Oreochromis niloticus: one gene and its partner. The protein of the gene in region 2 purifies or fractionates together with the protein of the main gene of each other region. This does not show direct contact. Links are inferred from orthologs where the notes say so. Each region holds a gene or a part of one and is shown on either strand. Other genes may lie near its edges.

The links. The genes of interacting proteins can lie anywhere in the genome.
Region 1: the proteins of ccnf (region 2) and nusap1 purify together in Homo sapiens (affinity purification with mass spectrometry; 3 studies listed by BioGRID, with this or other methods). This does not show direct contact. The link is inferred for Oreochromis niloticus from reciprocal best matches to the Homo sapiens genes CCNF and NUSAP1.

What each region holds. Positions count from the first base shown.
Region 1 is NC_031983.2:22,123,539-22,131,733, forward strand, and holds the start of nusap1 (nucleolar and spindle-associated protein 1), read right to left. Parts: upstream 3,082-8,195; 5' UTR 2,959-3,081; coding exon 2,884-2,958; intron 2,725-2,883; coding exon 2,656-2,724; intron 2,572-2,655; coding exon 2,380-2,571; intron 2,242-2,379; coding exon 2,058-2,241; intron 1,954-2,057; coding exon 1,870-1,953; intron 1,518-1,869; coding exon 1,405-1,517; intron 1,321-1,404; coding exon 1,270-1,320; intron 1,177-1,269; coding exon 1,010-1,176; intron 669-1,009; coding exon 505-668; intron 400-504; coding exon 283-399; intron 195-282; coding exon 92-194; intron 10-91; coding exon 1-9. Other genes in the region: oip5 (protein Mis18-beta), read left to right, coding at 3,387-3,561, 4,946-5,012, 5,177-5,299, 5,597-5,678, 5,881-5,973. UniProt on the Homo sapiens protein: Microtubule-associated protein with the capacity to bundle and stabilize microtubules. May associate with chromosomes and promote the organization of mitotic spindle microtubules around them.
Region 2 is NC_031969.2:20,391,836-20,399,834, reverse strand, and holds the start of ccnf (cyclin-F), read right to left. Parts: upstream 3,078-7,999; 5' UTR 2,793-3,077; coding exon 2,780-2,792; intron 1,935-2,779; coding exon 1,780-1,934; intron 1,669-1,779; coding exon 1,562-1,668; intron 1,469-1,561; coding exon 1,401-1,468; intron 1,278-1,400; coding exon 1,081-1,277; intron 783-1,080; coding exon 729-782; intron 383-728; coding exon 278-382; intron 62-277; coding exon 1-61. UniProt on the Homo sapiens protein: Substrate recognition component of a SCF (SKP1-CUL1-F-box protein) E3 ubiquitin-protein ligase complex which mediates the ubiquitination and subsequent proteasomal degradation of target proteins.

The DNA of each region.
Region 1 (8,195 bases), on a different chromosome or scaffold from region 2:
CGGCCCTCCCTAAAATAGGATTAAAGACATTCAGAGATGTTGCATGAGCAAACTGCAATGGGAGAATTTTCAGTGTTAATTAAGGACCTACCTTGACTGGACTTTGTGCTGTTTGTAAGCTTCCTGATGTGGATTTGAGATAGACTGGTTCATGGCCATGTTTTCTTTGACATCTCCAAATGGCTTCAGTTTACCTATGTATAAAATAAAAGACTCAATGCTACATCTCATCCATTCAAATAGTGTTTCACACGAACAGGGAAAATGAGAACATTTTTATACCTTTATGAGGCTTGTAGGTGAGGGGACGTGACAGACTCGCCTTCAGATCAAAGCTGGGTTTCTTGTTTGTGCCAGGCGTTGTTGAAGTGCTTGTGTTGCCAGTGAAAACAAATGGTCCTTGCAGAGTGGGGGGGGGGGGGGGGGGGGGGGAAATATCATCATCTACGATGTTTAGAGACATATACTTCAGATATCATTCAAAGGGTTGAAAGGTCAAAGTACCTGGAGTTTTTGTGGCCGAGAAAGATGCAGTTTTGACACTGCTGGGCTTTAATCCGTTGGCGGTCTGTTTCTGAGGGGTGCTGGAAGCCACGCAAGGTGACATGCGTGCAGGTGTCTTCACCAGTGACCTTTTATATTCATTGTCATGAGTAGCTTCTGAGAACCTGTATGTAGACAGTTCTCATTAAAGCATTACATTGAATACAAAACTTAAGTTTCAATGTTTTCACTTTGCAATACCACTTAAAGTTTATTTTTGCAGTTCCACTCTTGAATTCAGGTTAATCCTTTAGAATGACCCATTATTTCACCAGTGTTTGTAAACAGAGACTGCATGGCTAAGTCACAAGTTTTGTACACCTGTGTGAATGTGATTGATAACTAATGAGAAGATTAAAAGACTGTGTGGCTCAGTACTTTTGTTCATTTAAAAGGCATATTAGATCCCCTAGAAATTCATTAGATTTGTTGTATCAAAAGGCCAGAGGACAAAACGGTGACTCACCGAACATTGATCCTGCGAGTGGAAAGAACAGAAGGCCTGAAGGAGACGACCTCCTTTGCAAGAGGTTTTTTGGTGGCTGAAAGCAAAGTGTGCCTGCGGTTTCCTCCACCTGGTGTCTTGTTCACTGGGGCAGGGCTGAACATTGAAGCACGAGTTGGATTTGCCCTCTGTGGGATTATATACACATGTGCCATTAGTGTGCTTTAGAAGTAATTGATATATACATTAAATGTGGGTGACGAGTAGATGGTGATGCTTACCACTTGAGCTTTGCCATCAACTTGCAGCAGCTCAGTTTTGTCTGAAAGACTCTACAGGTAAAAAATAAAATAAAGTTCAAGTAAAAGTTAGACTTAATTTTTCCTGAATAAAAATAAGCCAAGATGATTTGGCACCTTTAGTTCCTTGACTGAATTTCTGTACGTCTCCATCTGTTTCGTCTTCCGCTGAACATAGGAATCAATGGACTCCATCTTGTTGAAATGAGCCTCATGAAGTTTTTTGAAATCTAGATAAACAAATAAAATTTATAACATTATTCAAAGATTTTGAAGTGTGTGTGTGTGTGTGTGTGTGTGTGTGGGGGTGGCACCAGTACTGTAAGTATTGTTTTGTAGTTTTTTAAAATCGATTAAGGTTTTATTTACTAAAGCAAAATAGATGTGCATCATCAACAGGAAAATGTACAGATTTCTCTGAAATTCTGAAATAAAGTAAGACAGGCTCTGCTGTACATAGCAGAGACTCCTATAAAACTTTTGCTGAATCAGGCACAAAAAGAACAATATCATGGTTAACTTAAATAAAATACTTTGTTGAAAGGGAGACAAAAAAAGGAAAGAAAAAAAAAAAAAACTTACTGGGGGTAACAGGCTTCAACAAAGGCTTACTCTTCTGCTGGAGACGAGGAATTCTACCAGCTTTTGCCCCTTTTGGTGCCTTTTCTGGACACAGACATTTAAATTTAAAATTTGTGCGAAAGTCAATGATCTTAAAATCCAATGAAGAGAACTTAAGTGTGTATCAGCTTTTATCAACTATTACTAACCTGTTTCAGCAGTCACTGGTGCTTCATCCTTAATGGCAGGCTGTAGCTGCTGCTCCTCACGGTTAGGAGTCTGGATCTTTTTAGGAGGCTCATTTTTTTCTTTATCGATTGTAGACGACACCTTTCTCTTCTTACCACCCCTGGCATTGCAGGGTGCAGTAGATGCATCAACTTCAGTGTCACCCTTAAAAAGAAAAATAATCATAAAAGGTTTTAGACCTCCAGAATGCAAAGAACTTAAACAGCTGCAAAGCAACCCTATACACAGGGATATAGAGTGCTTCAGATGTATTTATGTTGAATACAGTGTAATGTATAATACCTTTGCAGCAACTGGAGGCATCTTGGCATCGCTTTTAGTCAGTGTGGCAGTAACAGAGATTTTTCTCTTGGTACCCTGTCCTTTACCTCGACGTGTGTTCACAAACCCAGTAGTGCTGGAAACTTCCTCCTTGCAAGATGAATCCAGGACAACCTCAGGTTTCGCCTGAGCTTCATCATTAATACCTTGCCCCTGGAACAGTCATAAACGCATTAGCGCTGTCCACACGAGATGCTGACAACAAAGCCGATACATTACAGAACAGCAGTAAGTTACCTGCTCCTTCGGCTCTTTGTTCTTTTCTTCTTGATAATGCTGCTTTATTGCCTTCAGAAGTTTGTCGGCCTAATGTTGCCGGAAAAAACCGGGAAAAAAAAATGCATTTGAGTGTAGTTTGCACAACACACGTTGACGTTAGAGAACAGCCAGCTACCGTTAGCGAATACAAGGTAAGTCTACCAAACCTCGCTAGAAGCTAATTTTAAAAAAGTAAAGCTCCCTTACCTTCATGTTCGCCTTGAGTCCCAGCTCCTTAGCGAGACTTCGCAATTCTGCATATTTCATGGAGTCCAAATCCATGTCGGTGTGACAGTTTATTTCGCCTTTTTTTTTAAAAAAAATTCGCGCACACGTCCGTCTTTCTCCTCACCACAAACAGCGTCGGTTAAAACTAGCCTCCGATTCAAAACACAGGAGCGCGACACATTTGATTGGCTCTTCACTCTAACCGGATGTGCCTCACAGCCAATCAGAACAACCGTGCATTTTTCGGCATTTTTTTTTTATATCCCCCATGGTTATTTTTTCTTTCTAAAACCGTATTTTTATTAGAAATTTCATACATTTAAAATAATTTAATCAGCCACACTTCTTTGTTAAACTTGTAGAAAAGTGTTATTTGGTAGCTTGTACATTTCTTTGTAGGGGCGTGGTTACGCTGAGGGCGTGCTTTCCTCTGTTGTTCAAATTCGCGAGGAGGGCAAGTTGCTGGCTAGGCACCGTGAAACATGGAATTTAACGACAGCTTTTTAATTAAACACACCGACGACCTAAAGCTGCCAGCCACAGGAACAGTGCACAGACAGCAGATGACTCTCCACTGTCACCAGTGCAACGCCGTCCTGGCGGACTCCACAGGCGTCTGTGGGGAGATGAAAAGCATGGACTCTCTTATGTGCATAAGTAAGCACACTTCATTTCTAAACACTTGTTCGCTGAGGCATTGGGTTTATGTTAAATGTAGTATCAGTTTACAGTGCTTTTAACTAAACTCATAGTAGATGGATTTTGACTTGTTTTTATGGCGACTGTTTACACCACATGACCTAAAATTTTGGAGTAAGATAAGCAATGAGATGATAAATACATTATTCAATAGCAATATGGTAGTATGCCTGGTGGTAGATGCCTCTCCTGTAGCTGCAAAGCTCAATCGGTCTTTTAGAGAGACTGCCTATTCAGCGCAGTGGTGGTCAGGATTATTAGTGATGGAAAAGTTTCATCACAATATCCTCAAAGTTTCCAATTTACAGCCAGTTACAGAGTCAGCCTTCATAATCAGTTTATTCAGTCTTCTCCCCCAGCAGACCCCAGTAGAGTTCAGCCTGCTGTTGATGTGGACACCCAGGTACCTGTACTCCACCACCTCAAAAGGAACCTTCTGAAGTAGATCACATTCCCTCTGGTCTTATTCATATTCAGAAGCAGATGAATCCTCCCAGGCCATGCCACAAAATCATCCATTAGTGCTCTCTACTCCCCATTCTGCCTCTAAAATCAAACCGTTGCATACTGATCAGAGTATTTCTGTAGGTGCCTAAACCCAGAGCTAAACTCTTCAGTGTCTTAGGTGTGCAAGGTGAACAACAAGGGAGATTGCAGAGTCCCCTGCAGAGCTCCTGAACTGAACATCACCAAACAGACAGAGTACTTCCCCAGTCTCATATGCTGTGGACTGTTTGTCAGTGGATGTGTTTCCTGACATTTCCTGTAGATTCTCTCTCAGTAGCAGCAGATGGATTGTGTTGAATGCACTTGCGAAATCAAAGAAGGTAATCCTCACTGTGCAGCCATTACTGTCTAGATGGCAGTAAGCTCCCTGCAGGATGTAGGTGATTGCTTCCACATTTGGTCTGTGTGCAAACTGCTGAGGGTCAAGAGGTGATTTCGCCTGTGGTCTCAGCTGGGCAAATGTTTAGTATCTACAGTACCTTTGTCACATGCCGTGAGGTCAGCTGTTTGATAATCGTTAAGCTCTGGCGGTGTTGACTTCTTTGGTACTACTTGGGCCAGCGCACTTGCTCTGGTGTAGTTTCTTCTGCCGTCTGTTTGGGAGTGGAGGGGATGGAATAGCCTGCCTGTAGTCCTGTCCTCAACGCCATCGAACACTTGTGGGATCAACTGGGACGTGCTGTTCGTGCCAGAGTGACAAAAACAACCACATTTGCTCCCTAATGCTCTTTTAATGTCTGTTTTTTCAGGGATACTATACTTAAACTCCACTGATGATTTTCAAAAGTTTTATGCCAATATATTATTAAATGGTTTTCTACCTGTTTTTCTTTAGGAGTAACCAACGATGTAGTCATTAGTGACAAGATGGAGTCAGGACATAAAGGGGAAATGACTAATTGGTGAGTAGGGTAAAGCTGCAGCGTTTATTGACCTTGTAGAGGGAATTTGTTTTGTACCACAAAGCATTGACATAAGCACAGCTTAGACTTTAGTGGTATAGATAAAATACTGGAGGAATCACAGTCATCCACAGGTTGTTAATGAATGTCTTGGTCACTCCCAGCATCTACAGCTCTTTAAAATGCCGTGGCTGCCGCTGTGCTCTGGGGAAAGTCATTCACTCAGCACCCTCACGTTTGGCTCTGATTCGGTCCATCTTTCTCCTCTACAAAGCAAACATCAACTGGTAAGCCCTCCGGCTTCTACTAACCACACAACCATATTGACTACTTGTGTACATGTTTTTCTGGGGAGGGTAGAATAAACATGTGGCTTATGAGCTTTGTTCACTTATTGTTGTGAGCTCAGGTCAGAGATGAAACAAACCCTGTATATGTTGTATACTTGATGAGTAGGTTTAAATATTCACTTTATAAATAAGTGGGTGGTAATTATATTTTTCGATCTTTAATGGAAACAGTTTCATTGAAGTTATTTTTTTGCATCCCTCAATCTTCAAGAACTTGCTTAATTCTCTCTGCAGTTACATCCTCAACAGCAGCTCCCTGGTGAAGGCATCCACACTCACATTTGATCAGAAGCCACTCAGAGAAAGCATGAATGAGGTGGGACACTGAAATAATAGTATCATGTCTGAGCAAAAGAACCAATTTTAATTTTTTTCATTGGGTTATATTGTGGTTCATTAGTGCTCACACTCACTTCACAATAGAAGAGATTGGTGCATAAAGCAATCCAGTCAGGAATGAAATAAATTATAATTCCCTCTGCTGAGCAAATAAATGTGTTACTTGCTTTCCATTGCAGGTGAGACAACAGTTTGAAGCACAGCTGGAACAGATGTCACGCATTAAGAACAGACTGGTAGACAGAAGTGTTACCAGTAATATGGTCAACTAGTGTACACAGGACACCCAGCTTGACCTGGGATTAGGGAAAATGTGTTCTTCAGTCTGCTGCGTACTGTATATGGTTTTTGGTGATGGTGGCATTTATGCGCCTCCATATGCTTGTAAAGAAAATTATATCACTAATAATGGATTCTAGCTGAAATGTGTTTGTTCCATTGGAAAATAAAGGGAAGATCAGAGAACGCTAATATGTCAGATTGTTTGTAAACAATGGATGCAGCTCTAACATTCAAGAGTGTGAATACTTAAACCTGCCTCAAACCTGCATTCTTTAGAAGGACCAGCAGAGGGCGCCTCCTCATTGAAAAATCAATTCTTAAGGTAAAGATGGAAAAACCCTCCCGCTTCTTTGATCTGCCACTTTCCTGTTGAGTTTATGGCCTCGGTCACTATTTTTAAGTCTTACTGAATACGGCATGATTGTTTTATTTTGTAAATTATGGCCCCACTTAGGCTATAAGGATACAAAACAAAACTGTATGCTTTATGATTGGCTAGTTGCTACTGTGTGACCATGAAGTGTCCTTGGTTAATCAGTCAGATTCACCCCTCCCTTCTGATGTGTTGTTTGCTGACCAGAATGCTTCAGAACTGGACCTCACTGTGCCAACATCCAACTTTTATATACAGTCTATGTTGACAGCTACTAAGTGAAATTACTTTTTATTATTCACTTTCTTAATTGTTGCAGGTTAAATCAGGGCATTGTTATGAAAGATAAATGCCATTCCACCTGCAGATATTAACAATTGTTACAGATGATGGCAACAGTTGTTGACACAGCTTCTCAGATCCCTTCTCTGCTGCTGATAATGCCATGAAAGCAGTGTGGCATTTGGTCTGGTGACTTGTCAACTTTTGAGATGTATGGTCAATGTTCAGAGTCACCCTCAGTTCAGTTCAATTAAAATGTCAAAGTAATCTTGATTTACTGTAGTTTGTTTGTAATGGATAGCATACACTCAGTGGCCACTTTTTTAAGTACATCTTGCCAGTACAGTTTTTGCCTTCAGATCTACACTAATTCTTCATGGCACAGATTCAACAAGATGTTTGAAACATTTCTCAGGGATATTGTCCATTTAGAGATGATAGCATCACACAGTTGCTGCTATCCATGTTGTAAATGACCTGTTTCACCACCTTCTGAAGGTGCTGTATTGGATTGAGATCTGGTGACTGTGGAGGCCATTTGAGGCCACCACTACCAGTCTGAACCTTTGATTATGAAAGTGAGATGGATCCATACTTGCATACTGTTTATGCCAAATTCTGACCCTATCATCCTCTTGCTCTCGTAACCTTCTGTTGTCCAGTTTTTGTAGCCTGAGTTTCCCGTTCTTAGCTTTGCCTTAATGTTCTTATGCTTGCATAATAACAATAAGACAATCCTGTCCCCGTTCTGATGCTCGGTTCGAACTTCAGCAGATCATCTCAACCACAAATACAGCCCTCAATGCTTTGAACTGCTGCCATGTGATTGTCTGCTTAGATAGTTCCATTAAAAAGTAAATAATAAAGTGGCCAGTGAGTGTATATCTCGTGTATTTGCTGTAAATGCTATTTTGTTAATAAAGTTAGAGCCTAATTCTTCCCATGATTTTAGGATCAGCAGTTCAGTGAGAGCAAAGGTAGTTTTGTCCCTGCTTACAATCTTCTCACCAAGCTAGAATTAGGTTCAAATCTTCCTTCAGTAATAATTTTCTGGTGTATAACCAGCCTCAGAGTGGTATTAAGGACAACAAACCTTTGGTTTGTTGGTTCGTGTTATATGGCACGAACCCTTGGTTCTTGTTATATGGCATTCAAACTGTAGTCGACACCCATCAATTTAATTGGCACCATGCTGCATTTTATTGCTGAACTTCTGATACAGATTCTTTTTTTCTTTTTTTTTAAAGTTAATACAAAACCAGACAAGAGGCTCACACATAACAAGCATGCCCATTTCCTCCCTCTGGAGTGCATAGTTTCTACACAGTCCACGTCCTGTGTGGAAAAGTTGATCAACAAAGTGATGTCGTTAATCTTACCTAAGCTCTTGATACATTTTTTTCCTTTTTTAATGGGAACAAAGGTTGATTTGTTTTTCAGCTGCACTGTGGCTACACTGTCAGGTCATATTTGACACAATGGAGAGCTACTCCGTTCTTTACTGTAACAAACTAGCGGGTAGTCTGTAAAACTGTTGAAGCTTTTTCAACGTGCTCG
Region 2 (7,999 bases):
CTTTCCCAGCATAGTCCCTGAGGGTCCGCACACACTGCAGGTACCTCCCTGGATCTGCGATCTGAAACACATACACCAAAAAGAAAACGGTAAGCTCATGATTGGAGTCAACAGGAGAATCTTTTCTAGAATCTGTAAAGCATTTACTATGTTAGCTGGTTATGTTTGACTGACTTTGTAAATAAGAAATAAACCCCAAACAAACAGTTGTCTTCACCAAAGGTGCATGCTTCTGAGAGTAAATCTTGAAACACGGTAATGAGAGAACCTGACTCACAGCTGCCTTACGGCTGTGCTGCCACAACAGGTAAGAGCTCTGTAGACAGCCAGCCTGTGACGACTCCTCCAGCATGGATATGGCTTCTGAACGCTTTTCATCATCCTGGACAAATAAAACACAGTTCCTTGAGGTTAATGACAGAAGTAAAGGTAAACTGTCTGCAGCATGCTGTCTCTGCAACACATGAAGGATCGTGGCACAGTTCTGCTTTGTCACATTGGTAAATAACAAAGCATACTGAAGCTGTGAGTAAGAAGAAACAACAAGGCCTGTAAGACAACAGAAGCTGCATGACAGGGATTTATTCCATCTGTGGTGCTAATGACCAACTGGTCCAACAGCCCCTGTGACATCAGCTCAGTTTTAGGTTTTGGTGAGGGGGGTGGGAGTAATAGAAACTGGGCTAACCACACCTGGATTGAGATAAAGCCCCCCCAGTCTCACTCACCTCAAACAGCTGCAAAACTTTGGCCAAACAATGCAACAGGGGACCCCTCCTCTCCTGCAGAGAAATCACAAAAGCAGATTGCATGTACAAAACTGTTCACCAGTGTATGGCACTGTAAATCGAAGTCAACTAAGAAGAACAGAAGCCAAGCTTTAGGGACAGGGTGTTCAGGCAGCCTTCCAAGCTAACCAAATATGCGTTTATGTTGCAATATGATACATTTTTTATGTAATATTTTATATCTGAATTAATGATTTAAGAAAGAACCCAACTTAATACTTTAAGACCAAATCAGACATGAATGGAGATTAAATTTGCACTCCAGCTGGTCAAACAGGAACTCTGAGCCTACCATGTTGTTAGCGCACTCAGCCTTGAGGTGATCGAACACCACGGCCTTGCAGCAGCTGCCGGTGGGCGACCACGGCGGACGGATGAACACCCAGATGAAGGGATCTGCTGTGAGGGAGCGCAGGCTCTCTGCGAGGCTAAAGAAGTGGGAAGCCTTCCGACCACACACATCTGCTCGCCCCTCGTCACTCAACAATGCTGAAGGCGAGAGAGGATGCACATTTTTAATCAATTAGTTCAATTATTTAAAGGGTTTTATGTTGCCTGTATTTATATACGACTCCCCATTTAATCTCTAACATGAACCAACCAACAACTTACGTCCTTCATTGTATAAATATGCAATTCCAAGTTTCACAGCAGCTTCAAAATTCCCTTTGTCAGCAGCTCTAAAGGAAGACAAAATTTAAAGTAAAGACTCAAATTGACAAACAACATATAAATATATATGCAAAACACACATTTGAGAGTAGGTGGTGTACCTTTCAAAAAGCCATAATGTGTTTGGGGATGGCCACGTGTCTCTGAAACTGACCCTGGCCCAAACACTAGAGTGGTTGTCAACAATGTCCCGCAGCTGAGAGTGAACCTGAAACAGGCATTTAAAAATCATAAATAAGAAAAATAATTAGAACCTTTAGCAGAAGAGAAATCTCAGGTAATAAAGAGTTTAGCTGTGTCAGTGTGCACTTTTACTCACAGCTCGGATAGACAGGAGATCCTCTGCAGAGAGATACTGGAGCACACAGAGAAGAACCTCCTCAGGAAGAGACAGCAAGGTGATCCCAGAAGATCGCTTACGTACCCGCTTCCGTGCTGGAACCGAGTAGCATTTTGAACAACGGCAGTGGATAACTGAAAGAAAAAAAACAAAGAGAAACTGCATATATTATACACTTTTAACACATCAAATGTTTTGAATACTTTAGCATCTTTCCCATATTCACCCTCCAAGCAACAGCACTGGGAGGAAGGCTTTAAGTGTACACAATCAAAATCACAAATCACTTAAAATTTCACACCTAACTGCAAGACTGGCTAACTAATTCTCACATTAATGACAAACTAATATTTGCCTTTCATTGGAAGCAGGTCAAGTTGATTTAGACACACAGTGATGCACTCCAAGATGAAGGTTTTGCATGGCTCCACATTCAAAACTACTAACGTAAGGCATCTACGGGTGGTCTACTCAAACTCTCTGTGAGTGAGTGGGAAAATGTTTAAATTAATGGAGAGATCATCACCTTGAAATTATTAAAACACATAAAAAGCTAATGATTTTTTTTTCTGCATATGTTAAAAATCTAACGGCGGTGAACTGAGCAGCTGAAGGAGGAAAGTCAAACTCGGTGAGCGCCCAAATTTCCCTCCTGTAAGTTCCACGGCAGTAACGATGAGTTTCAATTAGGTTTCAAATTCAAACTAGTCTAACGCTAATTATTTATCTTTCAATGACCACAAAATGCTCACAAAGTCAACAGGAGAGACGTTTTACCTCTATAGATATATTGCCAATATGATTTACCATTACTTCCCGGAGGCTACACCAGTTAACGTTTGTGGCGAGCAGCAGCTAATCACCAATGCTAACTGTGTCCAACTTCAGTGATCTGAAGTAAGACCGCAAACACTTGTTGCATATTATGGTAATTTCCACATATCGGTGTTAGCAAGAACAAGTTGAAAAAAGTACTTACCGCCTGCTTTCATTGCAAGTACAGGGATCACTCCTCAAACAGCGATGTCTTACTGTAAATGCAACTCTTGAGTAGCGATTTATATACGCGGCGATGTTGGCTAATGTTACTCACATTCAAATATTCACACTAATTAATAGAAAACGAAATAGGCAGTGTTACAGTGTTGTTTCCTGTGTCTGTTTTGCTGTGATAGTTGACTAAAGTCTCCCTAAGTTGTTAACTATTGCCTGAATTCAAATCCAAGCACGCGTCCTCACTTATTGGACCCGCCCCAAAAGATGCTCTCTAGGACCGCCCGCGCTCACCGTTTAAACTATACGTTCAATCTGATTGGTCCTCACTGATGACGCCTTTATTCAACATAATAGCCATTTGATTGGTCAGCGCGAAGAACGGTCGCGACGATTGGTCAGACGGTATAAAACTGTAACATATTAAACGCTCATTGGAGAACATAACGACATTTCGAAGTACGCGCTCGTTAGTGAAGGTATATAATTGGCTGACCCGATTATGAAGCATGCCCACCGAACCGCCTTTAAACAGTGGACTGTGGGAAATGTAGTTGGATAGAGAATAATTTTTAAAGGTACTGTGTTTAAAGGGACAGGTGCGTAGAATCAGCTTTGAAGGATGTCAAAAGACATCCTCCAAAACATATTGTTAACGCTAACATATCGCTAACGATAGGTCTTACATAGGTTAGCGATAGGTCTTTATTGTAAGTTTCGAGTTATCTTCTGTAGTATATATATATGTATATATACAGAATGGCAGAATACCTCTACAACAATGTGAGAGACTGATGTGAGTTACCGAATGTGATGTGCTTGATTTGTCAAACACTGCTTCTTAGTTTTTCTTAAATACATTAGGATACAGTGTAATACAGTAATACAGTAATATAGTACGTGTTGCTGCTCGTGTCAGATAGCATTTGCCTCACATTAAGCTAAATATTTCTTTACGTCCTGATATGTAAAATTTTAGAAATGACAGAAGCTGCCAAGTCAAATCAAAGTTTATTTTTATAGGACATTTAAAACAACCTCAGTTGACCAAAATGTATGGGTACATAAAGGTGTATAGGTTATGCAAAATATTATATAATTAACATTACACAAACTCACTAATAAATACACTAATATACACAATAAACTCAATAAAACATCATGAGAAAAATCTCAATAGACATAAATAAGACCGACTGTATTAAAAAAAAAACACAATACCCTGCTCAGCAAGAATAAGCAGGTTTTAATGTGTGTTTTTAAATGACTGAGAGTTTGTCATATGATAATATTTGTTTGCTAAAGCAGAGATGTAACTAAAAGAAATAAGCGACTGGTTCAGCTTCTGAAGCAGCTGCCTTTAATTAGATGACACCCTGATTATGACCATTGTGTCTGATCCCCACTGTTATTTGCTATACTCTCTCAGTTCAATAGTATCTCTTCATTGCTTGTCTTTCTGAAAAGGGTCTTAAGGGAGCAGCGTAACCTCCCAAGAGTAATCATGTGTTCCTTTCAGGCTCTCTATTGATCCACACATCACCTGCTCATCCAATCTAATCATCACTAACAATAGCCAGTGCTCAACATTGCCTCTTCCACTCAGTAGGTTCCTTAAAAAAAAAAGGGAAAAAAAGGAAAATGCCTAAATAAGTTTACATGAAACTTTTATGTAATTCACAAAAGCATTAAGACAAGACATCTTGGCGTTCTTCTTCTATAATCACGAGCTTACAAGTGTTTAAATTGCTCATTTGCTCATTCTTAGGCTATTTAAAACTGGAGGTGCAGGATGATCAAATTATCTTGTAGCGGAGTGACCTCAGAGAGGGCAGGGGCTGTAACATCCGCAACTAAACGCAGCAGTTTCCATAGAAACTCAGAGTAATCTTAACCATTTTCTCAGTAAAACACAAAGTAACCAGGAAGAGCGAGGGAGAGGAGATCCGGTGGTGCTTTGAACCTTAACAAAAATAATTAAAGCTAAAAACCACGCTCAGTGTGCTCAGAAAACTGCAAGGTCTGTCATTTTTATTGGTAGTAAAAAAGTTTGTTTATATATGGGAAGTAAATGGGAGATGACTTCACATTTCAGTGACTTAATTTGCAAGCTTTATTGATGAGAAAAAGATTGCTACTATCTGTTTGTAATTTCCAGTGTTGCTGATGCCCATACAGAAATACCTAAAACTAAGAACCAGCATTTAGTTTGTGTCACTGTTGGATTATTAAAGTATTCTCGAGTCTCTGAGTGATTAAGTCCAATGCCTTCTCATCAAATTTGTTTCTGTTGCAATAGCTACACACAGACTTCAGCTTAATGTTATTTTGCTTGTGATTTAATCTGACCGTCTGGCCAGGCATGTGTAATTTCATCTACAACTGTCTCCAAAACAGCTCCCATAATATCTGGAGATGAATTGAAATGTAACTCCATCCTGCTACAAAGGTATTATGTGGAACCAGCCTTAGTCGCTAGCTAATTAAATACACCCGGATTTGTCTTTTGAACAGATGGTGTTGATCCGAAATTTGAATAAAGTATAAATAAAGTCATGGGACACCAGATGACTCCAATCCCGACTTTACTGTGTCAAATTGTGCTGTCTGCTTCTTTTTTCTGTTTTGTGTGTATTAAACTGAGTTTTGCATAATTCAAAGTCTGATAAGGAGCCAAATAGTGCTGAATGTTTTGGTTTGAGGCCAAGTTCTGGATAAAAAGAGGCGGACGACTTGTTTCCGTCTGGTTTCCTGTAATCCGTGCTGACCCTAGCAATCCAGCTGACCACTTCCACCTCGTCTGCACTTTACCCTCCAATGGCCTACCCACCCTTTTATCAAGACCTAAGCACTGTTCCCTCCACACCCACGCTTTCCCAGCTGTAATTTAATTATGATGGAATATGTTTATACCCAGAAATATAAAATTAACTCCTGCAGAACTGTGACTTAATAACAAGTGAGAGTACTTGGCCTACTTTATTCTACTGCCAGTAGGTGGTGTCATTTATTCTGATTGATGTTGGCCAGTCTGTTTTCTTAACAACCAGATTCCTCATCCCCGGGTATCTGAACAAGTCATCCTAGCTGGCAGGGCAGCACATGGCAGCGCGTCTAAATACAGCATCAAAATTTCAAGCGAAGGCCGTCAACTAAAGACAGGTTTTGCGTTTTGTGAAAAAGCAGAGCGACGGTTGCAGTTATTGTTCACACTGTTCAAAATAGAGCCAAAACAATGTTGGTCTACTTTGTATCCACTGTCCACTCTCCACTTGTCTTCTGTATTTTTAGCCCTGTCAGAGATTCTTCCAGATTGACCAGGACAGAGTGGAATGGTGCGACGGTTCACACTATTCTGAATAATTTTTCCAAAGCAAACAAGTACAAAGACATACAATGAATGCACAAGTTTTTTTTTTTTCTTTTTTTAACCTTTAGGCTATCACAAACAAAGGTGCTTATGTGACATTTGTTTAATACAGTGCTTACATGAACAATTCAAATTTACATATGAGTAGAAATATACAGTACAAATAGAAAAATAATTGTATATACAGCACCAAATATTAGTGGGCACACAAACCAACGTATTTCGTGTCACTCGCCGGAGTGACAAACAGCATAGGCTGACAGCGTGGCTGTCTTCTGGGAGAGGGACATTTTTCCCCGCAGCAGAGAGAGGTAGGTTTTCCCTTTAATCTTTCAGAAGGCAGAAGGGAAATCACTTCACATCTCCAAGAAACAAGAAACAATTTCTGGTCACCTTCCATCATTTTTTTTTTGTTTGTTTGTTTAGTGTCAATATACTGGCACGATATAGCTTTAAAATTAACAAGTACAACAATGCAGCCGAAGTGTACTACATATATAATGTGCACTATACAGAGGCGAGAGTATAAGCGTATGCACATCACCTATCTTGCTTTTGGGATCCTCTGTTTCCCCACAGTAAACTGAGCCATAACCGTCTTTTTTTCCTCTCTGTGCCACCAAACATCCTCTCTTCCACATCTCTGACAGGTCCACCGCATCTGTCCACAGCTCGTGCCCATCATTGTTAGAGAAACCCTAATCCAGGTGAACGAATCTGATAGCAAAGTGAGACAGCCCGTGTAATGTAATTCTTAACTTGTCTTCATCAGAGGATACTAAAACAATGGCCCACCCATAAATACTTTTATGAGCTTTGTGCATTTGACATTTACCTAAAAAAATTTTTTATAAAGGCTTGCAGTATGCAGGTGTTTGCAAACACACTGATCTAAGGTTCAGAGAAGACTTATTCCTCTCCTATTCAATTTAAATTCTCGCCATGGATTCCAGTAATGCATCATATTCCTCAACAATATTACTGCTTTGTTCAGGATGGCTGATCCTAATCTAACTGCTGGGGCAACTACTCACTGCCACATGTAGTGAAAGGAATGACTTCCCAGGTTCCTTGTTTTTCTCCATTACCTCCTAACTGTATTTGTCTTCCTTCATTAGGATGCAAGACAACATCTAAATGCACACTGAGCCACAAAACATGTCAAAAGAAAAGGGGCCGACTCTTTGCAAGTCTACTGAGGTCGGGCAGGATGACAAATGCAGCCTTGAATTTGGCAAGTTGGCCTTCAAAAGGTCCTCGGTGGGATTGGCATTCGATTTTAACTGTTACCCCTGGTTATACAGACAGATTTTCCTTAGCAAGCTTGACTAAACCAGTGGAGACAATCAATGCAACAGTGATCTATAGTAGCTCTCGAGGGTAAGTCCTTCGCATGGAGACAAATTATCCTCTCTGAAATTTCTATACATTGTATACATTGCACTTACTCCCTGCGGGAGTTACGTTTTGAACCTCATGTTACATTCAGTCACACAAAAGAGAATGATTAAGACAGAGTAAAATGCCATTGTTTATCTCATCCTGTGAGAAAGCACCTATTCACAGATGTGGCGCTGAGCGCAGCTACATTCACTCACTCTTTCTAAAAGAAAATGTGAAGGAAAAGGAAACCCCAGAGCCACTTAGAGCCTACGCATTACTCAATTTTCACCAGAGAACAGCCTTGTATTCTATTTTCTGATTCACAAAGGATTTTGCGACTCACTTTTAATCAACATTTTTTCCACAGTGGGGGGAAAAAATTAATAAACCAATTCCTTTGGCACAGATAGATAAAGACTGCATGAATGTCTGCAGACTGTGAGGCTGTCGTGT